Linked DNA regions of Drosophila melanogaster. The protein of the gene in region 2 interacts with the protein of the main gene of each other region in a biochemical or structural test. Each region holds a gene or a part of one and is shown on either strand. Other genes may lie near its edges.

Region 1 (9,609 bases), on a different chromosome or scaffold from region 2:
AGATTGGTATGTGTCAACTAAGTGCAGTTAATTAGTGCGAAAATCACTTCAGTTGGCTTGGGATATTTTTTCGCTCTCGGATTTCCTTTCAGCTTTTCGCGCCATTGTTGTTGGCGCCACCTCCGCAACGGAGCGTTTTTCCTTGGCGAATTTTCACGTTAATTGCTCTGCGTCCTGCAATCAGCCGGAAAACAGGAGCAGATGCCGGGAAAGCCAGCTGCTTGCAGGCGAGCTATAAGCCACTCAGGGATTTACTCAATTTGTTGTCACTTCATTCCGCAATTTATTTCGGTTTATTTTCCGTGTTTTACTTTAAATCTACGCAGTTTCTTTTTTTTTGTTTATATGCCACAGTTTATAAAGGAGAAGAAGCATTTGTTAATAGGCCAGGATTTGTTGAACGAATTTTGTTTTGTATATAAAGAAGAAATGAGTATTATTACATTTAAGCATAGTATTTGGCATACGTATACATTTATTTATGCTGAGAAATCCCCGAGATATTCTTAATTTTTCTTATATGCAAGCCCAAAAATTTATCAATCTGACTTAAATTTGAGATCTGCTACAAGAGCAACATGATCGGATGGAAAAACAGCCGATGGTATCGCAGTATTGGCTTTCAACTCCTCCTCCGTTGGCAGTGGCACCACCTTTAGAACTTCGAAGCGATCGTTTTGGTAGAACACATAGTCCAAGCAACCCGCAAAGAGGGTGGTGTAGTGGGTATATTCCGGTGCCCCATAGGCTGATGCCATTTTGAAAGGCTGCGCGAGTTCCACATTCGAAACCGCCTGCTCGGCATTACTTTGCCAGTCCTCCAGTGTTTTTTCGGCGAGCTGCTCCGTCATCAGCTTGTAGATTCCACACTCGGGAACGCTATTGAAATCGCCACAAAATATTAGTCCAATGTTTTTGTGGCTACTTATGTTAAAGTCCTTTATAGCTTTGCTAATAGATTGCTCTACGAATAGCATGGAAAATCCCATTTGCAGCAGGCGAATGTGATCTGCATCCGGATGGAAATATAAATGCGTGTTGGCCACCAGAACGTAGTTATCGGTACCCTTTATTCTAAGCAAACAAGTTTGCAGAGTGGTGGACCGTTCACAGATTCGTTCTGCTAATTGTGCGTTAACTTTGATCTTATTCCAAAGGCTTTCAAATACGGGCAGTGCGGGAATATTGGACCCCAAATGCAGGATTTGAGAATCCAAGAGATCGAAGCGCGAGTTCCGAAAGAAAATTGCCACTCCCTCAGCGCATTTGCCTTTCGGGGCCATTATGCCGTGATAGTTATACGGCGGTTGTTCTAGAATTTCCTTTAAATCAAAATCAAATATTCGCTGATCGACTTCTTGTAGACAGAGAATATCGGAGTTATAACCGATGATCTCGTTGATGAACAGTGGCTTCCTATAGTCTATTTGCAGATACTTTGCCGGGCAATAGGAGAACAGAGTGCTACCGGCATAGTCACTACTGGCATATAAATCGGCCAACAAATTGTAAGACACCACACGAATTTCATTCGATTCGCTCAAAGAATTCGTGGTGTGCCTTTGGCGATCTTGGAATGGACAACGCCCGGGAGATTCCTGCACTGCAGAGTTGGTTATCTTCTCCACCACAGGACCCGTCATTCCCAGTGCATTACCCGGCGTCACCACGAACTTCAAATGGTAACCAATATCCTCAGGAGTCACTAGATATTGAAATCCTTCTCCGCACACCTCCCAATCGGTGTCTGTGGGCTTTTTGGCCTTGAACCAAACTGCTTTGCTGAACTGACGTTCTCCGAATTGTATCTGAACATTGGTGGGGTATATTACAAATCCTGCCAATATGCATGAGGGCAAAAATTTTAGGGATGAAATCCACGGTGGATTGAACACCAAATCGTAGACCGTATCTAATACCTGCAGTTTTACATTGCTGATATCTTGGGTGACGACTAGATCCTCAAATGTTAATTCATTGAATTTTTCACCATATTTGTCACTCAGAAGTTTAACATTGATTTCTGCCGGCGGTTTGATTTTTGATTTTTTGCAGGACTTTGCAAGCCTGCCAATAATATTACTCTGAATCCTGGCCAATATCGCATCAATGGGCTCATTCATCTGGCGACGGAAATTGAATTCCCGGTTTATTTTCAAATTCTCATTCACAAAGCGAAACACAATGTCCAATTCTTTGGTATCACTTGCATTTCTCAAATAAACCTTCTCCATTTTACCAGCCAAGGAAGTGCCACAAAATCTGGACAATAGCGAAACTCTAGTTGGAGTTTTATTTCCGAATAATTTATCAGAATTGCGAACTATGTTTTTAAACAAAAAAAACCCCATCAATGTTGCAAATGTTGGAGCGAAGATCGGCGTTGAAGAAGAGAACTTCTCTTAGTTGACTTGTTTTTCGCCGTTTTATCTGGGAAAATTTTGGGTTAGACAACTTTACTTGGTGCACCGATGTCGTAACAACTCACTTGTCCAGATTTAGTTGCAAAATTAATCACATTTAAGTTGTTTTACACCTATTTACAATCGGCAAACAGTCGTGTTGCACGAAAACACCGCAGAAATTAGGCGAAACTGCGCCGATTTCGATAAAAACGAAGAGAGATTTTTACTTTTTCGCTCTGCCACGCCGCGCGATCAGCTGTTGTTTTTGGCATTCACAACGAAACCAACCACATGCTCGGCATTGAGAAACAGCTGATCTTGAGAGAGCTTCTGCCATTAGCAACGTTGAAGCTTTGACGCAAAAGCTTTTAATAAAAGCTTTATTTAATTTCAAATCTTGAAAGCAAAAAGATTTCACTTAAATATTACTTTTTTTCATAAAATTATAAAGCTGATAAATATATGAAGAGTTGCTATGATCTGAAATTGAACATATCGAAGAATAGAAGATTTTTTCTATGAAATAGAAAAAAAATTTCTATATAGGAAACGTTTATTCCTTTTTTGTGGTCATTAGGAGGAACATTATTATTCGCAAAATATACACCCGAACAAAACTATAAAACCTCCTATTTCACTTCAGTTGAAAACTATTTTCACGGCAAACGTCGTAAACATTAAGCTAAGTGTTACGATCCAAATGAGACATCTTGCCCCAACGAAGGAAACTCAACTTTCGGCCAAGTTAAGAAAGGACAACTGAGACGACGGCCATAAAAATTCGAAACAGAAGCCAGATCATATGTGTAGAGCGTATTTGGCAAAGGGGTGGACCAAAGGTATGGAGCACACAAGTGCATAAAACGCCGAAACAAGCCAAGAGATGACTTGGCCAGGCCAAAAAGGAATTGGCTTGGCCCCGAAACAGAGTCAACAACTGTGCGCCACACAAGAGTTTGCCAAAAAGATTGCACTACGAAGGAGCAAATGAAAAAATAAAAATCAAAAACAAGAGAAAAATCGCATAGAACTCTATAAAGGACACAGAGGACCAAAAAGGACAACAACCTGACTGGCAGGGCAAACGAAACCAGTTGAAGAAATGTTGCTGACACCAAAAACGAAACTGCAGGAAGACGCCGATGATGAGGATGAGCCAGGGAATGAGGCTAAGCCCGAGGATGCAGAGAGCATCCTTGGGCCCGAGATGTGGAGCAGAGGCGGTAAGGACAACAACGAAATTAGTTAGCACTTGAGAGAAAGCAGCTTTGGCTCAGTTCCAGGACTCGTTGCTGGCTTACAACACCTGCGGGAAAAAGAAGAGGACTTTTAGCTGCTCCTTCTGTTCCCTACTCCTTTCCTATTGACCCGAACCAGAGATGGCCAAAAAGCTTCGATTAGACACAGTGGATGGAACAAGGACTAGAAACTAACTATAAGTCATTTAAGAGTTTTACATATTGAACATTTTTTAAGCAATATTATATACACTTTTCAAAAATTTACCAGCATTTATATTGAAATTAAGTATAGATGATTATATTCGATAGTATATTTCTGAGATATAAAGATTAAAATCCACCAAAAATCAGCAAAATAGTTAGCTCATCTTCGACAGAAGTGGTGAAAAGCAAGTTCTTGGAGGCAGGCGGCAGCAATTAAATAGCTTCGAGCACTCCGAACTCAATTGCAGCAATTTCAATAACCGTCGAGGACACTCAAAGGACGGCAAGGTCCTTGCGATAATCTGTCATGCAGCGTGGAAGCCCAAGCACCGTGTCGCACACACCCACTCACACACACACAGCACACAGGACGAGTTCACAGCACACCAACCCACTTTCCATTCACACTCAAGGACAACTAGAATATCCGCTTTTGGTCTGAACACTTGAAGAACTTTCTTGCACTCACCTATTTCACTTGCTGCGGGAATTTGCTATATTTCTTCTTATTTTCCTTTTTACACTTGTAGAATTTGTAGCCGAAAGCGGATAACTGGGCTATTTCATTTGTAGTCTTGTGGGGGTAAATACTTTGTATATTTTTTTGTAGATTTTCTTCTTAAGAATTATTGATAAAAGCATGGAAGAGTGACGCGGTACGGCCGAAAGGTTAACACATTGAGAATTTTGCCACCAATAAGCCGAAAAATTGATAAACTTTTATAAAATTATATGTACGTTACACAATCTGATTTGGAAACACTACAACTAAAAATCTATATTGAATCGATTTGACAAGCGTTAGCGCAGCCAACTGGGATGCAAAGCTCTCGCTGTTCATTTTTTATTTTTTATGAACTTTGCTAAAATAAAACTAAATTAAATTTAAAAAAAAGCAAATGAATTGGATACCATAATTGATTGCTATCACTGATTCATATCAGTCGTTCAGCTCACCAAGTCGAACGTTTGACATTAGCAATAAATGAATCAACAAATATAAAAGTTTTGCCAAGAAAGTAATTTGCTAAAATTGGCGAGTCGAGAAAGAAAGTCAAGAGGGTGAGTGGAAAAAAAACCGAAAGAAATTCAATGAGGCTGAAAATTTCCTGGCTCGATGCCAATTGAAGGCAAAGAAAGAAAACAAAACTCGAGTTTCTAATCAATTAAAAAATACAACGAGCGGCGGCAGGGGCAAATCAAGAGTAGAGGGTACGATTTTCGGCAATAAATAAATTACAACCAGCATGCAGTCAAAGCGATTAAATTGAAGGGGAGGCTTCCAGGACTATCTGATGCCGAAGAAAGTACAAAACTTCACTACGTCTGGTGCAATTTTAATTACGACTGCGATAGGAGCAGGTCGAAAGTAATGGCAAGGAGCAAAGACACCAGTCACGAGATACACAAACTCGTTGCGACTGCGAGAATACCCCGTATCTTATTGTGTTGTTTATAGAAAATGTAGGAAGCTACTTTTTGATGATTACATGGAGTCTTTCTTTCAAATTTGCATGAATATTTCGAAGAATATTTACATGAATTGTTTGAAATCATTGCTATATGGTTGTAGATTTAAAATTTCCAAAATAAATACTACTATAAACGTTAACAAATTTTATAAAGATTATGTTACTTATATATTATTATATTATATATTTTCTCCTCATATTTCAATTTCCAAAACCCTAATATGATAATATCCCTAATATCCTAATATATCCCTAACTTAAAACTTCTTTATAGTACCATTTACAAATGAATTAAATTTTAAATCGATTTCAAAAAGGCTTTTCTTGAAATGTCCTTTTGTCATTAATCAAAAAAAAATCTCTCAGTTGCAAATTTCTTTATCGTAAATGCAACATGATATTAAAAAAAATTAAAAATTAAAAAAAAAAATTGGTAACCCATATTTGATCCAAATTACTCCATGTGTAATATATCCTTAGCGCAACTTTTACAGGGTATAGCAGGGCGAAAGGCGCCGAGTCGACTAATCCTTTGGCAAAGTCTTTGACAGTTGTCTTAGATTGCACAACAACAAAGAGGAGAAACACAATAACATCTTCATTATTATCATTATCATTGTTTCCAGCACTGTGGGATGAAAAAGTACAATAAACGAATAAGTACAATAAATAAGCAAACGAAGAAACAACAAACATTATCGCACATCATTATCGTTGTCATTCAGAGAGCGTCGTTCCAGCTTAAAAAAGCCAGCCCAACAAATATATGTATATATATATATACCTATATATATTTGCTTTATTTTGGTGTTTAGTTAGTTTTTATGAGCGTCATTATTTTCGCTTGCCATGGCGCTAAGCATCTTAAGTGGCTCCTGCTCCCGCATTTCCCTCCTATTTTTTAGTGGAGCACTTTCCTCGTGTATTTGTTTTCATAGGCGCAAAATGTCTTCGTCAACTTTTGACGATTTTATAATTTAACTTTTGCCGGGAGAGCTCCTCCTTTTCTCCATTCCTCCATTTCCGCCCGCCGGTTTTTCCTCTTCCTAGTTTCGAAAACAACTTAATAATAAGTGAGTGCTGAGTGCTGGTTGGAGGAAAGTTGACTTGGTTAGAGAAAGACGCCTGCAATTAAGGTGGCACCACCAAGGCTGTGTATTTTTGTTGGGTCTTTTGGGCTAGGCAATTATTACAGGGGATCCAGTGCATTTAGAAAGTTTTCTGTGCGGAAATAATTGTCAAGGATAACCATGGTAATTGTAGGGAAAAACTGATAAACTGAAAAGCAAAGCTCGTTGCTCATTGTTGTCTTTTGCACACAGAATTCTGAGCAAAATGTTACTAAAATAGGGGCATTGCAAATGCAAGAAGCCCATACGAACGTATTTTCTGAAGACAAATTAACAAATACATTATCATTAAACATTAAGTACTCATATTTGCTGGTCAATTATGCATTAAGATACTCAAAATTCCATGATATTTAGGCACATTAAATAAACAACATACTAAAGATTATAAATATATTTTTTAAATTATATGTATTCATTGTCACAATTAGGCCACAAAGCCCTAACAGGAACGTTTTTTTAAGATCTAGCGAATTGTATTCTATTTTAAAAACTTTATTCTAGTAATATAACCCAATGACATTTAAAAGCTTCTTAATATAGAAAATAAAATAAATTGGGTTGGAGAACAAATAACTTATTCCTTTGAATAGCATTCAAGACATCTGCAAGTGAAGTCTACTACGTTAATGCCATCTCCATTTAATACCTGAGCTTACTCACCTGTTAACTTAGCCCAAAAGGGTTGTTACCAAACTAATTTCAGGTCCTAAAAGTTTACTCTAAGTTAGCTAATTTGATTAAGGTAAATGGACTGGCCAGCTGTAAAGGCATAATGTTTAAGATACAGCCATTTAAATACAGCCATTTGCATACATCACTCGCAGGCATCGTCATCAATATAAATTTGTTTTGTCAGAGCTGCTTTATTTTGTAAATATCGAACAAATGGCTTGGAACATAAGTGAAGCATATGTTGAAAGCTGGAGGAATCGTATACGAAAAGCGTAAACAAGCTGCTTTTCATGTTTGACATGCGTTAGGAAAAAAAAATGAAAGAACTAGGAATCCACATTTTCAACATATTACACACAGTCAAGCAAGTAAAAACAATAAAAAAAATACATACAAAACAATCACAATTCACACAAAGAAAAAACAATGTTAAGAACACTAAAGGACCCATTGCAAAAAGGTTGCTAGCGAGCGAATAAAAAAGAATCTTTAAGCTTCTTTTTTATCTGCCCCCACAAACATTGAACTTTATGTGCGAAGCACTGCAGCACCACGCCCCCTTTTCGTTACCATTATAATGAAACATCTATAAATTGTCAGCCACTTTCATCGATTCTCGGCTCCTCAGCTACTCGCTTCTGTTCGGCGATGTCCTCTGGAGGACCATAAATAATATTATTATGGCTCCAGGAGGCAACTTGTATTTGTCAAAGCAAACAGAACTGCTGGAGCTGGAGCAGGAAGAATCCTTTCCGATAGCTCCATTTGGACGCATGCCTTCCCTTGTTAACGGCATTATTATTGGCAGCCATTATTCATGCAACAAGTGATGCTCAGTGGCAGAGCGGCAACTTCCGTCTAATTACGGCTAATTGAATGGCTCTAAGTTCCGGGATTTGTCAATTGATTTGTAGTGGGATTTCCGTATATAAAATGCCAGAGTACCAGTGTATTCAAATATCGAAATTGCGAGTACAATTATTTATATTGTTTCAACCAGATGATAATCCTGATTGCAAAAAATTAACGCCACAAATAAACCAAACAAATCTATAAATTCGCATGTGAACTTTATTATTTATTTATATATTTGCGGAACAAAAAAAAACATGTATCGATGAATTGAATAAAAACTTGTGAAATTAATCTGTCACTCGAGGAAAGCTGATATGCACATAACAACGTTTTAATCAATTATAATGCCATAAAAAAGTAAACACAAGGATAAGGAAACCTTTATTGGCACATCGACAGCAAATAAAAACCACAGCATCAACATGAATAACAACAAATAGGCGAAAACAGATAACCCAAGCAACAAAGATTTATTGCATTTATAAGCACATTTATAGACTTTTGTGTACGTATGTATGTATATTCGCTGATTTATATAGCCGAGTTAAACCCATGTGGTTTATAATGAGACAACACACTTAAATGAGGTTAGAGTTGCGTTCGTTTTGGCCATAAATTGTCCGAATTGGCCGAATAAACACAGCGAAGAACTTAAAGGCTTAAAAATTAAAGATACTCCACTCGAGGTGTACTCACATAAGACTCAGATGCATGTAGGACACAGACAGTTATAGTAAATGATAGCTGGGATATCGAAATATATATTTGTATAGATAGATACCAAGAAACCCACAAAGAAAGCAAAAAACAGTCACTTTTTTTTACGTTGTACGGAAGACGTGACGTGATGTGACGTTACGCTACGCTACGAGACGTAATGACATAAGCGTACAATACTTTCGATCCTTTTTTTTATTGTTCCAACTGCGTTAACGTCCACGACAATTACGGCACTTTTCCAAATAATTTCAGCTATTTTAATTTTTTTTTAAATAAGCAGCAGTGTTTTATAAACGCACAACACGAAAACGCAGACGAAACACACAGCAAAAAGTCGAATTGAATAGTATAGAAAAAATTAGACACGATCAGCAACGTTATCAAGACAACAGACTCTGACAAACTAAAAAATCAGAAGACGAAAAAAAACAACAAAAAATTAAATAAAATAAATGAAAATGCCAACAACAACTGATCGGTGATAATGCTCAGTTTGAAATAAGAGGCGGCGTTCGAAAAACAGAGAAATCGCATCGAAAAGAAGAGAGCTCCCTCATTCGATCTATTTTCGAATACTGATAAGACCACTTTGAATCGATTCGTTTGGCATTTGATTTTCGAACAAGTAAAATCCAATTGCAATCAATGCAACTAACAGAAGAGGCCGACTATCGAAATGAATTTCTTATCAGTGCGAGAGCGGGAGATCTCTGAGTTCATAAAGATGATCTACACACTCGGTCAAGGGTAATGACTTAATCTGACCTTTTCGTATTAAATAATATAATGATATTTTACTGCATTAGGAATTTTGTAAACATTTATTCAACTTGAAAAACACTCATTTAAACGAAAGAAATCATAGAAGTGTTTAAAATGTATTGCCAATTCCATTAGTACACTGCAA
Region 2 (9,646 bases):
TGCCTCTGCTGCTTTTCGGTCTGGCTGGGATTTTGTCCTGGGCCTGGCCTGCATTTTAGCGGATACACTCATACACATGATGTGGCAATGGTGGTCGACGGACGGGAGAAGTGGGTTTGAAAGCGTTTCCGGGGCCAGAGCCTCTGTAAAATTACATGTTTCTGCTTTCAGAAGTCATACAAATTATTATGTTTGCATCGCTTACAACACTTATTAGATGTCCTGCTCCTGTTTGCCATCCTTTTCCAATGCTTCTCGTGCTGTGCTCCGGCCCAAAGGGGTTTTCGGCATTAAAATTTGATGGCATGTAGTGATAAGCGTTCAATAACGACGTTGTCCTTGTCGACGCCATTGCCCTTCCTGTCCCTTTCCATGCTTTCCGTTGCCCGCTGACTCTCCTTTCCACAAGGGCCACTTCATTCGATTCGTTTCGTTTCGATTTCCCTTTGCCCACCGCCCGTTTCCCGCTCCCAGTGACCGCAGCCAGAGGTTAATGCACAGTTGTAATTTTTTATGGCCGATTACATGTTGCCAACTTGTGGGCGAAAACGGATTCGCAAGGCGGGCAGCGGGAACAGCGACGTTGGCAAGTCCATAAAGGATAAGAGTTATGGCCGAATGCATTTGAATTTGCCAGCGGTAATAGAGTGTTTGCATATTACGTGGCGAGTGCTTAAATCCCCTGAAAGGATTCGGGATGCACAATTTATGGAGCTCTGATCTATAAGCTGCTGTCGTGGCTGCAAAACGATTGCCGACTGCCAAGGGGGAAATCATGTAAATGCAACTCAATTTACGACAAAGTTTTTATTTCGCCCAAAAAACAATTGGCAAATTACGAGGACAGTCCAAAGTCAGTGCCATGCTGCTAGTTTTTTAATAAAAATTAACTTGAAAGCAATACTTTCAATTCACTATCAATTAAAAGACCTTAAGATCTTAACTTACAGTTCAGAAACTGAGGATCTAAGATATAGGAATATCCGGTAGCACTGCGCACCATTCACCTGTGCTAATGTTTATAAGTTTTATTCGTTATATACCTGTAGTAAAAGTTCAGCAAAGTGGATTCACCAAGAATGCCGTGGCGGCGTATAACTAAAGCGTTTAATGTTTGCAAATTAAAAAGCATTCACCGGAGTCGAGACCTCTTTGACTTCGAACTTTGTCCGCAGGCCGGCGGAGTTGTGAATGGCACAAGGATTCGATAAGATGCAAATGCCTGCAGGACAGCAAGCAGAGCCTGGCGTTGGTTTCCGATATAGTGGCACGTAATTGCTGCGCCTACATATCCAGCATCCTGAACCCCATCCACTTCCTCGTCCTCATCCACCTCCTTTAACTCCTACTGCAGATGCTGCCTTGTTTGTGTTGTTTTGTGTTGTACTGAGCTGAGCTGTGCTGTGCTGTGCATTTCATTAAATGCCAATGGCTGGGCAAATTAAATTGAGTTTTGAGCATGTCGAGGAGTGCCATTTCATCAGCTTTGACTACGCGATGTGTCGCCATCATATTTACATAACTGCATGCCTTCCATGGATGCTTGCTTGCCTGCTTGTTTTTGTGTCCTCTGTTTTGTGCAATATGAAAACAAGACATTAAATGCCTTTCTGGATCAGAATTCAACTATCAAAGCGCATGCAGACGTCTTCGCAGGCAGCAGGATCTACACCACCTCCATTGCCACCAGCACCACCAACACTTCATCCTCCTTTCAGCGGAGTCAGTCGCAGTTGCAGTTTCCTTTCGCATGCAGCCCATCCATTTAATAATAACAATATCGTAATTCAGGCAAGTCACTGACAGCACCAGCCTTTACATGGGCGTAGCCAGCCCCTCCTCCGTTCGGCGAACAAACGAGAGAAGCGTAGCGACATTTCAGTTTCAACGGCAACATTTCCGATTCTCGGAGCATTGTTGCCGTTGTTATTGTTTCTCTGGGGCGCCAGTGGATGGGTGAGGAGTGGGCTGGCGGCCAGGCGGTGGCTCCATAGGAGGCGGAATGGTGGGCCAAGCAGCCGTCAACAGGCCTTCAATACATGCACGTTTGTATGAGTGCTAAGTGGAAATAAAACACGCGCTTTTTCCGCACTGTATTATCTGCCACTGCTACTGCCGCTGGATCTGTGGATCTGTTTCTGGTGATGGTGGTGCTCTCCTCCAGCTCCAACCAAATGAAGGTGGTAGTGCAAGCAGCAGCAGAAGCAGCCACCAACGAGGGGTGCATGCTGCACATTTTTTAGGCAGCCCACGACGAGGCGAAAAGGTACAACTTTTCCGGGCCTATTTAAAAAACAGAAATACAATACAGTTTCAAAACTGCCGAGTAATCATCTCGAATGTCTGATGCCTTAGCATTAAAAATATAATTTTGATTAGTTCATATTTCTTCATCATGCCCTTCTAAGTATGCTACGCTTTAACTGATTAATACATTAATTCAACAAGTCCTAGTCATTCTAAACAGAATTTTATACAAAGTACCTATTTAAAAGTATTTTATGCTGAAACCTGATGTAATGGTTTCATTTTAATATTTTTTGAGAGTTTCATACATGTCCCGTAGACTAGATCCTTATTTCATGACAAGTTTTGACGACAGAGATTATCTGTAGCCTGCAGTTCGCAAGGACAAAACTGCTCCATCACGGACGTTTCAAAAACGCTGCACAGAGTTGCGCTGGGAACCTTTGCGAGGATATAGAAAACAAGAGGCGACTCCAACTGGATGCTGCCCTTTTGTGGTTTGCCTTTTATTGTTGCTTGTTGCTGGTGTTGTTGGTGCTCCGACTGGATGTTGCTGTTGCTCATTGCTGTTTGCTTCTATTTTCTTTTGCCGCATTTTGGTTCGCTTTTAATGATAACGCAACAGCATTGTGTGTGTATGCCACCGCCACCGCCAACCCACCAGCCCCTTCTGTCCCCTCATCACGCATCCTCGGGCTCATTCCATTGGCCAAAAGGCCTGATACCCTCTCGACCAGGCCACCTTTCGTCATCCGCTCAACCACAATAATGGTGTGCATCAGCCGGAGTTCAGGGGGTCACAAAGGGGTGAGTGGGTGTCGTCGGACGATGGGCGGTGTCGGCGGTGCCGCATCACAATCACGCATGCCGCACCACTGCCAATGCATTAAATGCTAGTTGAGCCCAGTAGTGTGTGCAACGTCTGGCGAAGTAAATTCAATTGAATTTTGCACTCGTTTTCTGTTTTCAGTTTTCCATTTTTTCTCCCATTTTCCGCACTCTTCTTTTATTTATTTTTTTTTTTTGTATTATTCCTTTCTCATTTTTGTTAAATGCCACAGGCTCATATTGCAATGGGCTACGCCCTAATACCAAGCACCACTACCCAATCCACAAAACGCGGCAGTGCAACAAACGCAACGCACCCTGGTTGATATTTTCTTGGTTGTTATCCTTCTCGCTGGCGGCGGGCGTGTGATTTGCTTGGTATCGACATTTTAATGATGTGCCCTGGGGCTGCTGCCACCGCATTGTTGGAGGACGCCTTGGCCGCCTTGTACTTTTGGCATTTGCGCGAAATGTCGAGACATTCCAATAGTCTGCCAAGGATCAGAACCAGAACCAGAAGCTGGAGCCGTACTATTGGGTAGTGGGAGTGAAAATGGCAGGCTATGGCGGCCTGGACATACCAAGTTGGCCTGCGGCATATACTTAAGTGTACATAACCAACTGTTAATGCCACACCATCGCCCAGCACAATGATTTGCTCGAAATGATTGCCGCCCTCTCTTGAGCATTCACTCGAGTTTGGGTTTGAATAATGCCAATGATTTGCCCGCTGGCAATCAAATTTGAGCCGGCTAATAACTGGCAATTGCAGGCAGTCGTTTAGGGAAAACGGCCAAGCATTCACTTAATTATACTATTAGTGTAATATTTATGGGCGTGTGTAATCAACAGGTAAAGCAGATAGTTTAGTTTGCTTTAAGCATAGTTTACCCCCACGAGCATAGATCTAATTTAATAGTAAGGTTCTATGATTAATTATGCACAATACAGTAATGTTGGCAAGTTTTAATGCCAGACATATTGCTACACAAAATCCCGGTGTCATTGATATGGACTGACCTGCACTTGGACAGTGAACCAAGACGTTGGTGCAAGGACAATAAAGGAAAATTTTGTACGAAACGATGTTACAGCAGGATATGGACTTTTGCAGAGCATGACATCACACATCCTACGGCTTAAAATGGCAAATAAAATGTACAGCATTTCTTATGACCGACAAATTTTCCGCTGTGGCCCCCACCATTATTTATAGGCATTTTAAACAGCAGGCAATGCCGCAATGGAAATGAGTGCAAAAAATATAAATAATACGGAAAGCAGGACATTAAGAACACGCCACGTTGGCAAGAAGTAGACGCATTTTAGACATTACCAGCAAATAAATATGAATGTATAGCAATACGGCAAGGGAAGGGGGGGGGGGGTATAGACACTGCTTACACGACGAAATTGACATTTTGCATTTAGTTATTCAGTTGGGTCTATATTTTGATCTTTTTTTTCTACCATTTTGCTGCCGCCGCTGGCAGCCACAATAAAATGAGAAGAAAAATTGCATAATAACCCCTTTGAAATCGTCGGATTATCCTTAAATATTTGTGTAAACATTGTAACAAATGCGCAGCTCCATTGTCAGCCAACTCGGGCCATGGATGCAGCACAGAACCAACCTCCATCCTTCATCCTCCACCTCTGTTTCCATCTCCGCCTCTTTGAAAGCCATCCCCAATCCATTGACGTAGTCAAGGCGGCTTTTCCTCAACCCCTGTGCGTCGTCTGTCGTCAAATGCCTGAATGATGAGCAATAGACGGGTCCGGGTCTCCTGTCACAGTCGACAATGAGCAACTTTTTCCAAAGGCGGAAGACGTGGCAAGGATACAAACGGGCCGCGTAGCCAACAATGGGACCAAGTGCTCCGCCGAGGAGGGAAAGCGTCTTAAAAAACCTGTCACACATATTGACAGTCGCTTTAGGATCGCTTAAATCAAGTCTGGGGTCGGCGGGGGCATGAGCCGAGTCGTCGGGTTGGTTAGCATGTGCGTATCAGCATAAAGGATATTGTAATCATTACATGTAATTCACATTTGGGGGTGAAGGGCAATTGCCGCAACTGACATAATTTTGATGTGTATTGATATGAAGCGGATTGTCAGGCAGGATAATTAATTTTCCAGAGGATAAAGAAAAACTCAGGAAGGGACATGTAATATTTTGAGCCATAAGAGGCTAATAGCTGTCTGCTTGTACTGTCACTGGAGTTTTAAGATTATTAGACAAACTTTTACGAATCTTTAAAGACATAAAAATCTGGATACTAATGGCAGTTGTAAAGCGTGCCCAACAACTTTAGCTCTGTTTTTTATCCGCTATTCCAATGCTTCCATTTGCTCTCTGCGCTTTTTCTGTACCGCTCAGTGTCCTAATCGAATCATCTCATTTAAGTGAATTAAAAAACATATAAAGGCGAGCAAAATTAAATCACGCAACTATTTTGCGCAACAAAGAGTACAATTAAAAGCCCACCCGGCGGCAAAAAGGACGAAAAGGAGGCGCAGTGGTGTCTGGCGCAGAAAACGCCGCAAGTTTAATCGAATTTAACTACTCATAATGTGCAACAGACGTTGGCGGATGGGGCTGTTTCAGTGGGTGGTGGGGTGGTTTGAAAAACTCTCAGAAGTGTAGGCGTAAAGTTGGGCACTAATCTTATTAGGATCATCCCGGGCCAGCCACTCACGAATCCCAATTGGGAAGATGAACTGAAAAAGCCAGCTGATGTAGAGCTCTCTCACTCGCTCGGTCGTTCTCTCTCTCCCTCTTTCTCTCTAGCCGACTTTATTCGTACGTGAGCGTTTCAATTACCGCTCTGGAGTGCGAATGGGTTTTATTATTATTTACATACCTGTTGCAGCAGGGGCATTGTTTTGAATAAAAATTCCAATTTCCACACTTGTTCACGTTGCGCTCCTTGTTCGTTCGTGCTCGTTCGCGTTCGTTCGTGTTCGGCAGGAGCAGCATCCGCCAACTGACAAAGCGGCAAAACAGATGTCACCACTTCCGCCTCTCGTACCTTCCCTTTCCCACTCCCACTGCCGGCGGAGAGCCCGTTCGCGCACCGTCTCTCTCGCCCTCTCTCTTTCACTCCTGCGCAGGCCTTTCGGTTGGAGTTCGCTGCGGTTCGAGTCCAAGTTCGTGTTGGATCTGGTTGGAGTTTGAATTGGATGCCGAGCCTCGGGCAAGGAATCTGGTTTTTGTTGTTGTTTATTGGAGCTCCACAGGATAACGCGACTGAGCGAGCGAGAGGGGCGAAGGCGAACCAAGACAGCTGGCAGATGTGGCCGTATCAGCAGCAAATAGTCATCGATTCATTCCGCCTCGTCAACGATGCAAATTTCCAAAGGCCTGAAATATCATAAGCATGAATTAATTATAAGAGTACTCTTCTTTGTAGTTTCCAAATCAGTGGAGTTTAAAGAAAACACACGCGTACGCACTTGAGCGTTAAATGCCGTAAATCGATCAAGGCGTATCCCTCTCTCTCCTACTCTCTATGACACTGTCCCGGCTAACTGTAATTAACTGTAATCCAGGGTCGTTTACTTTAAAGGGGGCTTTTATGGCCGCCAATAACACAAACTATGCATTATCCTTTCGGGTGGTAATCCTTTCGGAAGCTGTGTGTTGAGCGAACCTATTATTAGAGCCATAAATCAGCATGAAATGAGCAGTGGCAGCGAAGTTGGAGTTGTAAAATGGAGATGGAGATGGGGCCAAGCCCTGTCTCGCCCTTTCTCTACTCTCTCCATCTCACTCTCGCGCTCTGTGCGTAGAATAATGGGTAGTAAGAATAAGTGTGCACACAGAAAGAAAAATTGCTATACTTTCATGAATTGCACTGTTATTCATATTTCTTTTCAATTGATACCGGACAATCCAAAAATCTATTATTGTGCACACCTTACATTTTATTAACGAATTAAGACCCCGCGCAATTCCAGCTTCATTTCCTCTGTGTGGCCAAGGCGGCGATTGATTGCCGTAGTTTTTGGAGAGATGACGTGAGCCAAAGGCAACAGAAAAAAAAACAGGACCAACGGCACATAATAGTAGTGTGTAGTTGTAAAGTTGTAAAATACGCACGTCGAGAATGAGAGAACGAAAAATGAGCCGCTGCCCTGTTTTTCTTCACCTTCTTGTTACCAACTAATTTGAACTGCACCATTTTTCGGTCAACAATTTCTAGTGCCGGCTAACACTGATACACCAATACATACCCAGGACTCGCAAAAACACGCGGATGGCGCATAAATTCGTGTGAATTTTATTTTAATTCCGCACTTGCAATCGCATCCCGTTTCTTTTGTCGTCCACCAAGCACATTTTTACACACACTCGCACACACGCCGCCAGGAACCGTTACTTCTGCTTTGCACGCCCTTCGCCGTTTTCCGTTTCTCCTTCCGATGCTGTTTCGCCAAACTACTCACTCACGGACGCATTTTTTACTATTAAACTATTTTGATTGTTGAAAATCTTTGCGACTGTGGTATGGCACCACATTAACTCGAATTTAAAATTGAGCCTTAAATTTGAGCGGACCCTGCCGCGGCAATACAAATTAATAGAACAAACTAAATTATCATCCCGTGATATCTTTTATTTTGGAATTTTAGTCGGGATTTTTTGATATTATGGCCACGCCACGGCGTGCAACGCTGCTTAAATAACCTTTTTCGCCTGGCTCTGTCGAACCAACCGCATGCAACCGCTCTCTTGAACTTAAAAGCGCTCATTTGTTTGAAACAACTTGTGTTCGACGATTCCTCGACAAAAAAAGAAACAGTCATTAAAATTCGCACAAATGGCTGAACTATTTAAATAATTTATTTAATTTGTATTTTCATTTAAAGTTTTGGTTTTAAAATAATTTTTATATTTCCATTAATTTTATTACTTATTGGTAAAGCATTAACAGCAACCAAATTTTTTTCACTGGCGTAAACAACTGTTTCCAGTGAATGGCAACAATACAGCTGTTTTGCACAGAGTTGCCACTATGTTCAAATGAGTTATTACCAGCGGCGGAAAACTTGTATCAAATTTATAACAAAAATACAATTCTGCGTTAATAAAAATGCCCGGGGACACGGAAAACACAAGCACTGACACCACCAATGAACACATCGACCTGGCCTTGTACCGGCAGCTGGTCAAACAATTCATAGACATGGTAAGACAAAAAAACCAAAAGCCGGCAAGCAGAGCCTGAGTGCAAATTCAATTGCATTTTTAGCGTCGCTACTCCACAGCGCTTTTTTGGGCAGAAAAGGTGGCCGTGCTTGGTGGCCTGGAACCCAGGGATATTTACTACCAGGCGCAGTGCATGTACCTACTGGGGGAATACCATCGTGCTGCTCACACAATACAGCATCACAAGCTAGAGAAGAATTCACTGCCATGTTTTAACCTACTACTGGAAAGTCTCTATGCGGCCAAGGAGTTTACCGAGGCGGCCAATGTCATCCAGAATGTGGAGGTGGAAGTCATGACCACATCGCTGATCAACCAGCCCGTTGATGCAAGCAGTGGCTGCTATCTGGAAAGCAACAGTGTCTTTGGTGGCGAGGAGAATCACAGAAATGAACTGCTCTCATCCATTTACCTAATGAAGGGCAAAGTTTATGAGGCCCTGGACAATCGCGGCATGGCAATGGACTTCTATGTTCAGGCCCTTCACAAATCCATATACTGCTTTGAGGCCCTGGAGGCGCTGGTTCAACACGAAATGCTGATGGCTTGGGAAGGTGAGCATGCACCTACTTTCTGAATACAGTATAATCTCAACTTAATCATTGCAGAGTTTGAGCTAATGCATCATTTACCGCTGGCACAACAATCCAGCGAAGCTGATGCCAAGTTTATACTAAAACTTTATGAATCTCGCCTGAAGAAGTACTACGAGTTGATTTCCGCACGCAATGCTGAGGAGATGTCCCCCATTGTTAATCCTGACATACTCCAGTTTATCAAGGAATTTACAGCTCGAGTGCAGCAGAGCGGGTCGTCAGACACACAAATGCCCAAGGTGAGCGCCGTCAAGGTGCCGCTTACGCCCAGCCAGTTCATGTCGCCCGCACAGAAGTCAGTTCTCCTGATATTTCTAATATTTAGCGCATTCTTATTGAAGTTGTATCTTTAAGAGTCCTGGAAGATCTAAAGGCGCCCACATTTTCCCTACAAACTAGTCTCTCAAAGGCTTCTTCCCTCATTGATGCTTCTCACCGGTCCATGTTTGACTCATCCAGTAGGAGGCGATCGCGTGATCATGACACGGACACATTAATTCCTATCGCTGAATGTCTTGATCGGGTACAACGTAGTACTGACCTAATGGCCGCTGAGGCGGAGAAGTGTTTCTACGACTGCGACTACAAACAGTGCCTGAAAATACTCAATGAGTAAGTGAAGAACGGCGTAAAAGACTTATATTGATCAAAAATGTATTTGGTTTTGCTTATCATATATAGACTCCTTAAGGTGGATCCCTTTCATAACACTGCACTGACCATTCAGATTGCCTGTCTGGTGGAAAACGGCGACTTTAATCGG
Region 3 (12,673 bases), on a different chromosome or scaffold from region 2:
ATGCTCGTAATACTGCGAAAATTGAAATGATGATCTACGCACGTCCTTACGCACGGACAACGCAATGTAAACTGCAGCAGGAGTCGAAGGATTCGCGACACTGCGAGTCCTGTGCACAGATTTCCCAATTGGCGAATGGCCAACGAAGATGGTTCGGAGAATCCGACGTCCTTCATCGGAAAATCACGAATGGAAAAGCGAGGAGAGAGAGAGAGAGAGCACCCGTGTGGTGGGTTTCTTATCCATAAATGCTTCTATTGCTAACTCTGCTTGGTTCCCCTTCCACTGCTTGATTTCCCCTTCCCACTGCTTTGCCTAAGAGAACTGCTTCGTTTTGACTGCTTGATTGTACTCACCACGACTGCCACTTTAAACGGCAACTTACTGTGTACAATATAAAAAAACCAATTGTAACATTATTTTTAAATTTAATAAATTTTTAAATTTTAAATTTACTTTAAATTTTTTAAATACATGTTAGAGTTTAATTACAAGACTTCGGAAGGTAAGTATGCTTAAATAAGCATATATTTTAGAAATACTTCTTCCTGTCTGAGTGTACGGAAAAAGTATATGGAAAGTAAATTTAACGTGGTTAATTCAATTTTCAACTTCTTTCGAAAGAAATTTATAAAAATATATATATTTTCCTACTGTTTTTGAAAGGCCGAGGAAACACATACTCAAATTATACTTATGGCCACTTAACTATGTCCTCCCATTACACAACACTTCCTCTACTTAAAATGGGACCAGCATTGACGAATGGAGGCCGAAACTGGCGACTCTCGGGCTGGTCAGTGACTCCACTTGGGATCCAAATTCAAATCCAGCATAATTGTAAATCAAGCCGCTTGCCAAAATGTCCCGCAAAAGCCCACTCGAAGTACTTAAGTGGAGCATAGCCCCATGTAGATGACCACCAGACTGGGACTGAGATGGCTGCAGAAATTAGTTGCCATTGGCAAAGGCACTTTGCGCCCAAAGTGTCATAATCATAAAAATTTGCAATTATGCTGATGCAACACGGTAGCAACCACCGGCAACTGGAGCAAAACATTTCCAGTTCATTAGCTCAGCCACGCCCCTTTTGCCGCCCGTTTAGTTCGTGTAAGGACACACATTCGATTTTGTTGCTTTGCAAGACTTCTTGGCACGAGGCGAGGCAATACAAATTATGCAGACAACTGGAGACAATAAAGTCATTAACCTCTATTCCAACCAGGCTAAAAGAGTTCAAAGCGGCAACGACTTAATGTACATATATTACAAATGTTTCTACAAAATTAAGCAAATCATATTAATCTAATAATCTACTAAAAAATATATTTAGTTGATTTTTCATAGACATCAATTTATTCATATCAAATGTTTGTGCGTGACTATTTTGCTTATCACTTAATACATGCTGTGCTTTTGTTTTTAATTTTTTTTTCTTTTTCAGTTAGTTTACATAAATTCATTTCTTACAACAAGTGATTTCGTTTAGTTAGATTTCATAAATAATTCACAATATTTTTTTTTTTTGCTTAAGACGGTTTCCTATATAAATAATTTCAAAATAAATTAATCGCTTAAAATAAAGGCAACTACGACCTATTGGCACACTGGGAAAACTGTGCACTTTCCCGAGCGCAGCTATGCTACTTGGAATTTGAGTACAAATGCGAGTATAAGTCAAGGTCAAGGCTGTGTTGTGCGGGAAAGCTATTCGCCCAGGGAGTTGCCATTTTCTTCCTGACTTCTTCCTATACTTTTTACCGTTCCGATTCTCTTGATCTTACGACTACCAAATAAATGGGCATGCAAAAAAAAAAAGAAAAAAAGAATTCGAGGCAATGGGGTCGAACGACAGGAGCGGATCACCACTGGTTGGAGGGACGGCGCTCTGCGCCTGGGGCCGCACTTCCGGAGAATCGCGGCGACGAGGAGTTCTGCGAGGAGCTGCTGCTGGGCATTGTGCTGCAGGCCGCCTCGTTGGCCAGCAGCGTGTGAATGGCCGTCAGCAGCTTCTTGCGAGCTCCAAACGCCGCGATACCCAGCTCCATCAGGTTTTCCTCGGTCAGGGTGGTGAACACCTCCAGGTCGATTTCGTTTAGAACGAATATTTCTGAAAGGAGAAATAAAAACTGTAGTTTTCCCAGGTTGTAAATATAAAATAGTTTGATTTTAAATGCTATATGGATGTTGAACTTTATGTAACTTTATCTATGACTGTGAAAAAACGTTTGCGTTAAATAAAACACTCTCCAGTTCAAGCCAGACATATATGATAGCTTTATAAAAGACTTCTAGTACACAGTTGGTAAAAACGGACATGATCGGCGGAGCTACTCACTGATGTAGTGCTCCAGACCCAAACTGGTGAGCAGAGTCTGGATGTCCTTGTGCTTGGCTAGCTGCATCCGTCGGTTGACTGGAGTGGCGTCCAGGAGTCCGGTGGTGGCACTCAGTCCGTAAGGGGAACCCAGTCCTGGTGGCAGCCGCCACCCACTAGATGCTCCTCCACCAGCAGCCCCATTTTCCCCGTTCTCCAGCGGGGCAGGGGCGGGCGAGGTGCTGCTCAAGCCCATTCCCATCCAAGCGGTCGTGGGTGTTCGCAGCTCCCCTGCCACCGGGGTGCGCTCCATGGCTTTGTAGCCCAGGGCCCGTTTCATGTCGAAGTCAAAGGCACGGTGGCCGGAGTGCTTGTTTCCTCCAAGGTCATAGTGCAAACTCCGATAGCTCTCGGCACTGCCGGGCAGGAGGTGGGCTCCTCCGGAGTTACCTCCTCCACCGTTGGAATTACTCAGCCCCAGCAGCACTCCATCGCTAAGGCGTCGTCCCAGACGCGCCCCACCACCACCTCCGCCGCCAACGCCACCACCCTCACTGCCGTAAGTGGAATCTGGCGAATAATGCGCCCGATTTTGGCTTCCCGCGGTGGAGGATGAAGTGGACGACACGGTGCCCGGCAATTGGGCATACGGCGGATACGACTGCTCCAGGGAGGTGGTGCTGCTGCTAAAGCTCTGGTAACCACTGGTATTCTGACTGCAGCTGTTCCGTGGCGAAACAGTCGGCGGTTTGAGAGGCGGCGCCACCGCTCCAGGAACCTGCAGATAGTTGCCATTGTTGCTCTGCCCACCAGCCACCATGGAACGATTCTGAGCCTGTTGGAAGCTGTTGTGCAACTGCATATATTTTTGGGTGGGCGCACACACCCCAGTGGGCGTGGCCAAGCCATTGGCGTTCAACAACAGGTGATTGTTGTTGGCATAGGGCGTCAGTTGGCCAGCCAAGGAGGGCGGCAGCAGCGATGGAGTCTTCGGGCTGTCCACATACCCAGCCAGCAGAGCAGTTAACTGGGTGCGGTAGGCGAGATTAAGGTCTTTGTCCTTTGGCATGAAGTAGTAGTCGGGGATCTCGGGCTTCACGAATGGCGTGGCCAGGCGCAGGATCTCCTGGCGGGCCTCGTAGATTTTGTCTAAGGAGGGTGACAACAACGGATTAATACGGAAATTTAATTCAGCACTTGCTAAATATCTTAAATTGTATAATATATCTAAAAAGTAAGGAAAATATGGGATAAAAATCAAACAATAATGGAAAGTGCAATCGTATATTAATGCAGAATCAACGAAAATCATACACTTTACACATTGCTTTAGAGATCTTACCTATAAACTTCTCCACTCCCTTGACCACAATGGCCAGGGTGCTCTGCCGCTGTTTCTGGCGCAACGTGATGTAGACGCCGTACTTGGTGTTGAGGCTCATTATTTCGGATGCATCGTTGTGGTTGTCCGGAAAGTCAAAAATCAATGCTACGGGCAAATTGCCAAGCAATTGTTGTCGCGCCAAGTAGACGTCGTCGATGCGTCCGCTGATCGTGACCTGGGACTTCTTCAGGGGCTTCACGTTCATGTCGCTCAGATCGGGGAATATGATCTTGGTCTGGGTTCGCTCCATAATGCTCAGCAGATTCACGTTGTTCTTGCCCTTGACGATTTCGTGATGCTGCGGCGAGATCTCCATCTGGACATTCACCAGGATTTGGCTCTAAAAAGGAAAAAGGATTCGCTGATGAGCCTTATTTTGAGTTATCCTTCTCGAACCTACCGCAATACTCTCACAGGCGAAGTTGATCAGCAGCTGCGTGGCATCTCGGACCTGCGCCGATTCCTTCTCGGATCCCTTGACCAAAACCAGCGAGGTATGCAATTTTGGACGCGTGGAGAATATGACCTGAAAGGAGGAAAAATCTTTAAAATATATTCAATAATAATTAAGAGCAACGAAAAAACTGTTTACAAAAATCCTTGGTTGTAATTTAAGGTTGCCAAATTCGAAAATAACGTTTAAGTAACTTTATTACTTTAAATGCGTTCTAAATCACTTAAAAATATATAATAATAACACAACTGCAAAATTAGCCTAATGTAACATCAGTTGATAAAATTATAATGGAGCAATATATAATCACAACTCTCAAGGGTTGGGAAAAAAAAATTTGACATTTTCTATACCCCCTCTTAAATGTATGTATGAATGTATATTACAAAATCTTACCTAAATTAGTTAAACTAATCAAGCCATTATAGTCAAATGCAAATAATATTTGGTAACATGCCATGATTAATTTATAATTAATTTATAATCTTACACTTAGTTGACTCCGACATCTGGAACTCACCTGAACATTGAACTTGGTCTCGATCATCTTGATGTAGGGAGTCTCGTGGTCGGGCTGCGGCTTGTTGGGTCCCATTACGGGCATCTCGAAGGAGATGAGCAGCGGTGTGGAGAGCCGAACGAGAGCCCGGGCTCGCTCCACGCCCTCTAGGCTGCCGCACAGCGACACCTGGTTGGATTTCTCCGTGGGATTGGAGCGATTCGAGTCGGGGAAGTGGATATGGGTATGCGTGTCGTCCATTATGCGCTTGATGTTGTTGCCACCTCGTCCGATGATGTACGAGTGATCCGTGTAGCTGACGTCCATTTTCATGATCACTCGAGTGCCCTGTTCGGAGAAAAATGGGTAACAATTAAAACAGATAAGTTTGTATTATGCTTTGGCTCACTCACCCTGGAGTCAAGACTGCTAAGGATGCGCTCCTTTGCCCGCTGAACCTGATCCACCTTTCCCACAATTCGCACATGGGGATCTTTAAATTATGGGATTTATTTGAAAAATACTCTTGAACATTGAAAATATTTCAATATCCTACCCTTCTTGCTCTTGGCACCAATTTTGAGTCTGCAAGGCCAGCTCACATAAGTATCCGTAGTGTTCATGATCTAGTAAAAGAATATGTTTTGGATATATGGCGAATTCTTTTATATCAAGTCAAAAGAGTCGGTCCTAACAGTATCTTAAAACAAATTGGGTTATACACTGAAATTTTATAGATGCAAAGTCAGATTGCCAAACAAAGACATGAATCAATTAACTTAAAAATTTTGCTCAAAAACTAAATAACTTAATATACTATTGAATAGGAAACATATTATTATATGTTCAATATTTATAAGGCATGGCATTCTGTGTCTCAAAATGAGACAAAAGAAAGTGTGAAGCTAATAGGTGCCCAAAACTTAAAAATATGTACTCACGTCATGGAAAAAATATTCAGCTCCATTCATTCCCTCAATGGAGCTCTCCGCTATCAGAAAAAAGGCAATGTATAATAAGGAATCTATTATTTTTATATATAAAGGCATTACCTTTTATTAACTGTTCCAATTTCTGTCGATCCACCTTGAAACGTTCCGTGTGGAGATCGTCTGGGTTTTGAACGCCCAACTTCATGGCGATGGCGCGTATGTCACTCCAATCGCTATCCACGGAGGAGATCTCGCTCTGCGTCTCGCTGGGGGCTCCACTGCCCACCGAGGTGGTCGATGGAAGGGCGTGAAGACTGGACAGGGATCCAATGGATCCAGCTTCCACCTCCAAGCCCACCATTGGCGGTTTGGCAACATCTGCGGCCGACGGATACATCAGTTTATTGAAAGAGGCACAGGACAACATTGTGGAATTCGGATGATGATGATGATCACTGGATCAGTGGATCGGTCAGTGGATCGAGAAATTCGTCAGAGGTCAACAGGTGTGGGTACCAAAAAGTCGTTTAGTTTTAAAAACCAAGCAAAACGTCCGTCTCAGTTAAGGATTCTGGAAGCCGGTCCGTTGTTTGGTCAGCTTTGTTAGATGATTGCTGCTACTTAATGAAGTAAAGTGTATCTGAATTGATGGGATGAGCTGGTGATGAAAAATGAAAGGTCCGAAATGATGTAACAAGAAAATTGATGTTCGTAATAAGAAGAGAGTGGTTAGAAAGCGAGTCATAGGTAATTTAAAGTGAATATTGAAACACCATATAAAAATTAATTATTTTTATTTTGATAGTCGGTACCATAATTTAAGCAATGCACTTTCCAAAAAAAAAAACGATTTTACCTTTAAATTTAGTTCTCTTTTAATTTTTTGCGGTAAATAGTATTTAACTATCAACTGGAATAAGTACTTTTCACTAACATTAAAAAACTTTCTGTCTTAATTTGAAAATCTGTCTTATAAATTTGTGAGAATAATGCCGCGAAAAGGTGAAATAAAAATTCACTAATTAATATTATTATGGATAACAACATTATTATTGGTTCGCCGCCTGTCGAAAATTCCAAACTTTCTTGTGTGTTCTTTCACATAACCTCTCAAAATGGAGTGCTGCTGCCATGAGGTTCGTACTTTCCCCTTTCTCTCGAGATCCCGAAAACCGTAATTTCACCCGTGTCTTCACTTTCACTTCCTTGTGCCCAAAAACCAATGGCGTAACTTACCGCTGGGAGATCGCTCGGTGATCTCTACTTGAGATTAAATAGGCCCTGGAGGTCCAGACAGATGGCGTGCGAGAGGTCCTGGACGAATTGGATGGCCTCGACGAGGCAGACGTTCATAACAAAATTACGTATTTGTTGAAATCTCTCGACGAAAGGCATTTAAGGTGTGATCTGCGCAATAGAGATCTATATATCAGTATATAGCTGTGTGATTGCGACGGTCTGAGGGGCTTTGTCAGAGTATTGGAAAAATGCAAGTTGGGAAAAATCTCTCTGATTTCTGGGGGACCAGCACTTCTTCTAAGTACGGCTTGAAGGCAACTGAACGCGGCTCTCGATTTCGTCGATCGATTTTGCCCGCTGCTCGACGGCATTTACTTCTAACTGTTGAGCGGATGAATTCCGCAAATCGCTGGCAGGAGAAAATCTGGCGAATATTGTTGTTGCTGGGTCAATGAACCGCTCCCGGAATAAGAGATTCGATTCCATATGTCGAGAGCGAAAAACAAAACAAAGTCGCAGGGAGAGGTGGTGTTCCAGAACTCCAACATAGCTACAACAATTTGCAGAGCAAACGCTTAACAGCGGTTAGAATGTTGCAATGTTAAGTTTGAAATGTTGCCAACCGTTTTCATTCATTTTGGCGCCAGAAAAAACGGTAGAGAAATACGGCACAAAGAGAAACCGACTTTATTCCCGCCAAAAACACGCCACTTACCGTAATGTCAGAAATTCGGATCGTAGCACATACACATAGATATCGCAGGTTAATTTACTTAAACACAATCAATTGTAAAATCTTTTCGACAAATAACACGCTCTTTTCACGTAAAAAAATTGTATATCCGCTTGCTAATTAATTTTGGGCGCAATTAATTTTCCGTCAATTGGTCAAATTAAGGTTCGAATGGGAATTCGGCTGGCAGTCGGTGTATTTTTTCAATGTAACCAAAAAAAATAACCACTATCGAAGTGCGAGTAACAGAAAAACACCACGTGTGTGAAAAACACAAAGGAAAATGCAATGGAGTCTCATGAAAAGCGAAACTGAATTGTTGTCAGAAAATCGTGCACTGCGCGTTAGTTAGTTATATTTGAATATTTTTTAATATTTTATAGCTCTTTTGAATTAATATATTATTAATGGGTTGTGCGCGCCGTGCAGTTGTCGTCATTAAAGCGCGCTGACTATCAAACTAAGCTCGGCATGTGGGTCCCAGTCCCAACTGACCTTCAGATCCAAAAGCTCTGTGTTCTGTGGGGAGTGAAGCCAGTGCACGAACAACCTTAAAAAGCTGCCAGCCAACTGGATAACGGATATTCAGCAATAGCTTTATAACGGGAAACGGAGCTTTTCAAGCTTCTGAAACTCCCCAACCTGCACTTTACCAAAGTATTTATATACAGTGGGTTTTAAAAGTACGCTCACCCTTGTACAACCGGAAATCAAACTTTAAATAAACCAAACTTAAATTACGTAATTAAATGATGACATGTACGAGTAAAAGACGTCAGCAATAGTTATTGAATAGGGGTTACTTTATTTCCTTGCTGCTATTTTACATCACTATTTTGTTTTCTTCAATCTTATTATTACATTTATTCTGGCTTTACACATTTCGGGTTATTTATTGGGGATATGAATATATTATGTGCTATGCATTTGACCGCGTTTTTGATTCTCTTTATAGATCTAAGACTTATCGTTTTTCCTAGCAGCTGGAAACATTCACTGTTTTTTTATCCTACTTTCATATTTCTTGGTTAATACTTTTAATATTTATTCAGTAACATCAAAATGTTTGTCCCATTTTTATGTACATAAAACTAGCTTTTTACATTCTTATACATATGGTTATAGTTTATTATATATATTGGCCATAATTGAAACCATACTGAAATTAAAATTAAAATCCCCTGTCAATGTTTTAATGTAATGGGCATAAATTAGGGAAGACAACTTTCACAACACGATTTGATTACAAAAATCTGGCGGCATGCAGTTTATTATTATATAATTATCTATTTGTATTACTTGTTTTTGCATGTACACCAATTAATTTATATTTCATAAGTTTTATTATTACGTTTTATCATTTTATTTACACTTTAAATATATGTACTGAATTTATAAATTATTCAACATTTATTTTTTATTATTGTTATTTTTTTTTAATATACATTTTCATTTGTTTTTGGGCTACGATTACCCATTGCATACATTGAATTGTGTTTAAGGTAAAGGAACTATTTACCGCTGGATTTTTGTTGGCCAAAAATGTTCAAATAATTCTTTTGCTTTCATCGAGTTTTAATATTGCCGAAACAAGACTTGAAAATAAAGATTCTTTTTCGTTTTAATTTGCTCTATGTATTCGTTGTTTTCTACAAATAAACGCTTGCTATAATAATTAATTTTGCTTTTCATTTCCACAACCGTAAAAAGTTCCTTTCTGTACAGTGGATGTTACAAAATATTAATTTTGTGCTTGGTTTTAAGCTTTTATTTACACATTGACATAATGTCTTCTTCATTCTGAAAGGAGAAAACAAACAAAATAAAGTTATAGTCGATTCTCTCGACTATAAGATACCCGTTACTCAGATGAATACCTTATAATGTTACAAACGATTCCACTAATCTAGAACACTCTTTTACTCTAAAAGTAACGGGTATTAGTATTGACTTAAATTATATTCGGTTGTTTACAATTTTGAAGCTGTCAAAACCCCACTTTAAAATGCACTACGGTACCCGAAAGCTAAGCTCAAGTGCAGTCTAAAGTTCAGCTTGCTGTACACTGTGCACAATTCCTATAACTTTTTGATTTTTTATTTGAATATATTTAACGCTTGATATATAACATAAGAGTTTGAAGTACATAGTATTTATTCTAAGTACATTTTGATTTTCAGTGACTGAGCACACGCATTTTCTCACCCTGTACGTGCCCAGTGCCCAGGCAACTGTGCATTTTTGGTTTGACTTTCCGCATCTCTTAATGTTCTCTTCACTGAGAGCCATTTGTCGTGGCTTATTGTGATCTTTTATTTTTTACAGTAAAGATCTGTTCGAAAGTATCGGGAATAAAAAGTGAAAATACCTTGCTGTAGCATTCATATATGCTTATTGAGTTGATATTATTGTCTGAAAAGTGTGTCTAGCTGAAAATAAAATGTGTTACTATTTTTACAAAATAATAAATATGACAAATAGATATTTAATTTTAACAGTGAACAGAACAGTTTCACATAGTTAATGGAAGTAATGTGATTGATTGGTGATCTGTTTTACAGCACAATATATTTCCGTTTAATTCTGTTGCGAAAATGTGAGTAGGCCGAAAACAGATTTGAGAGATAGCGGCGTACAGGGTATCTTTTTATTTAATGGTTTCACCGTATGTTGTATTTTACCTAAGATTAATTCATTTCCTGTTATTATTCATCGGTTTAATATCTACTTGCTGACTTTGCTCTGCCAATAATTAAATATATACTGCACTTTCCCTGACCTTATGCGTTCAACACTTAAGAGCTACGACCAGATCGATTTATGCAGCTGGCTGATGCAATCAGTATGAGTACGAATGTATATTAATTATGCCCTTCAACAATTCGGGTGCGAAAGGAAAAGAGCCATATACTGGCTATTTTGCACGGTGGCGAGCACCTTAAGCTACTTTCGAAAATGGATTTCATCATCAATTCGGCATCAGCACGCGCTCCAACGCGACTGCATCATCGCATCCATCGCCTGCGATTTCTTTTGCCGCCTTTCTCGCCGCCGAGTCATCAATAATCGTTGATCCGGCCCACTGGCCACGCCCCTTACAGCATTGACGCCCCCCACAAGTGTCGCTGACAGCCGCTTAATGCTGCAACTCGCAACTCCTCCTGCAGCAGCAACATCTGCAGCATCAGCATCGGCAGTTGCTGTCGCTGTTGCCGTTGCATTTGCACTCGTGCTGCCAATATACGCATCACCACCGTCATCATCATCATCACGACTTCGAGTTGGCATCGCCATAGCCATTTGACAATTATAAAAGCATTTGACGCTAGATGCGCTAGATGTTGCCGCTTTTGAAGCTGTCACCTCGATGTTGCTGCTGCTGCCGCTGTTGCGTTGTTGCTGTTGCACCTTGCCAGTCGCCGGCTTAGTGTATTGACAGTTGATAATTTGATGGCCCAGCGGCCCTTGCTGCAGCAGGAAAAAAAGGAGAAGAGCAGCCGCTCCACCGCCCCCACATAGCCAGTGCCACGCCCCCGCCAACTGCCTGTTGATGGGGAGCTTTGTGAGCTGCGATGGCCAGAACTGCCAGAAGATTTCGTGTGCAGCTGTCGAGGCGCCCGATGCCGTGTTATCCGCTGGAAATAGAGAGATGCACAGGTGAGCATTGGGTGGAGGTAAAAAGAAGGGACATTGCCATTAAAGGGGCTTCAAATTTTCCCCCTTTGATGCCTTTGTGAAAACTAAACAACGCAATGTCCTGTTCGATTTTTGGAAAAGTCAATGTCTGTCAGGCTTCTTTAATAATTTATAAGCCAATAATCGTACATTTACCTATTGACCCCCTTTATACCTTTTACGTATAAGGCTTAGTAAAAATTGTAAGAATTTAGCTAAGTTTTCATCATGTGCATTCCAAAATAAGGTTTCTCTTGTAACCAATTTTGGCTGGGGGAAATAAGGTAGAAAATGCAGTTTCCTACCAAAAGATATTCAACCAGACAAGTTCTTCTGTGCGAGTGGGTGTGTCAACAGTGCATTTGCATAAAGTTCAGAGCGGAATGCAAGCAAGGAATCGGAACATGCAATCTCCCCATTCCTTTTGCTTAATAACGAGGGTGGCTTGCAAACTTCCGTTTTGAGGGCTTCCCTTGGGCGCTATGGCCAAAATATTGTCGCATACGTTGATATTTCACTGGAATTCCGCCGTTTCCATTTCCCAGCTGCTTTCATCGGTAAGCCAGTGAACTCAATTTTAAATACAATTTTCAGCTCAATGCGTTTACACACTTGTTATTTCTGGTGTTGTCGTTACTTGGTGTTAAGTAAATGTTGTCGCTAGTAAGTGGCAAAAGAACCGCAAAAGGAGCGCGAGGCGAAAGAAAAATGAAAGGATATAGAAAGGACCCCCCATTTTCGCCAGAGGCCCCAATCACGCTTCCGTCCCACACAGTCTGCCGCAATTCCGCGACAATCTTTCATGTCTAAACTTAGTTTATAGCAATTTGATTCCCCGCCATCTGATTCGATAAGCCTGCTCCTTGCTCCTGGTTGTTAGCAGTCTGGAGGAATGTTTATGCTGCACAATTTTATTTACATAATTTACATTGTGTGCCCGACATCGACAGGATGCAGTGGGCCGAACTAAGTGGGATTCAGTCCATCTTCTTTTGTTTGCCCGGGGCTTTGCTTCTCCTTCACTTAAACGTATCGAACGTGCAGCCGGATATTTTTGATTTGGTAAGTTATTGAACTGGATACCTGTCTAAATATATTGCCGATTAGGAAGAACTCAAATCTAAATAAATTATTTGATTGGCCCTCAGTAATCGTAATTGTAATCCAATTTTACTGAAGTGTAGGAGTAGTAACCTTGCTTCTAAGATATAAGATCAAGTATATCAAAATATCCAGTATTTTCTCATCATTAGCCCGAGTTTTAATGGCAATATAACCTCTTTCGTTATTCAAACTGTAAGTACTCACCGGAGTAGTACGTCAAATAGGACTCGTTGTGATCCTCAAAGCCGCCTCGTTCGCCATTCGTGTGCTCCTCGAGGGGATAATTGTTGATGTCATACGATCTGCCGGAAGCCATTATCCTGGGCCGGTCCTCCT

Evidence for each region.
Region 1: the proteins of orb (region 2) and bru1 form a complex in vitro, tested with the Drosophila melanogaster proteins (one study listed by BioGRID).
Region 3: the proteins of orb (region 2) and BicC form a complex in vitro, tested with the Drosophila melanogaster proteins (one study listed by BioGRID).

The regions. Positions count from the first base shown.
Region 1 is NT_033779.5:12,200,841-12,210,449, reverse strand, and holds the start of bru1 (bruno 1), read right to left. Parts: upstream 4,608-9,609; 5' UTR 4,320-4,607; intron 2,742-4,319; exon of another isoform or gene 2,235-2,741; coding exon of another isoform or gene 540-2,234; exon of another isoform or gene 340-539; intron 1-339. Other genes in the region: CG31759 (uncharacterized protein), read right to left, coding at 540-2,234.
Region 2 is NT_033777.3:23,273,120-23,282,765, forward strand, and holds the start of orb (oo18 RNA-binding protein), read right to left. Parts: upstream 7,738-9,646; 5' UTR 7,312-7,737; intron 6,440-7,311; 5' UTR 5,958-6,439; coding exon 5,940-5,957; intron 1-5,939. Other genes in the region: Cdc16 (cell division cycle 16), read left to right, coding at 8,172-8,267, 8,331-8,841, 8,896-9,178, 9,238-9,495, 9,565-9,646.
Region 3 is NT_033779.5:16,037,395-16,050,067, reverse strand, and holds BicC (bicaudal C), read right to left. Parts: upstream 8,022-12,673; 5' UTR 7,541-8,021; intron 7,152-7,540; exon of another isoform or gene 6,994-7,151; 5' UTR 6,982-6,993; coding exon of another isoform or gene 6,847-6,981; 5' UTR 6,823-6,846; intron 6,245-6,822; 5' UTR 6,014-6,244; coding exon 5,707-6,013; intron 5,646-5,706; coding exon 5,596-5,645; intron 5,517-5,595; exon of another isoform or gene 5,281-5,516; coding exon 5,211-5,280; intron 5,148-5,210; coding exon 5,068-5,147; intron 5,003-5,067; coding exon 4,676-5,002; intron 4,228-4,675; coding exon 4,102-4,227; intron 4,042-4,101; coding exon 3,660-4,041; intron 3,467-3,659; coding exon 2,339-3,466; intron 2,111-2,338; coding exon 1,863-2,110; 3' UTR 1,442-1,862; downstream 1-1,441. Other genes in the region: CG45084 (uncharacterized protein), read right to left, coding at 6,847-6,981; beat-Ic (beaten path Ic), read right to left, coding at 10,538-11,193, 12,542-12,673. UniProt on the Drosophila melanogaster protein: RNA-binding protein that is involved in oogenesis. Required for correct targeting of the migrating anterior follicle cells and the establishment of anterior-posterior polarity in the oocyte. May act as translational repressor of oskar during oogenesis.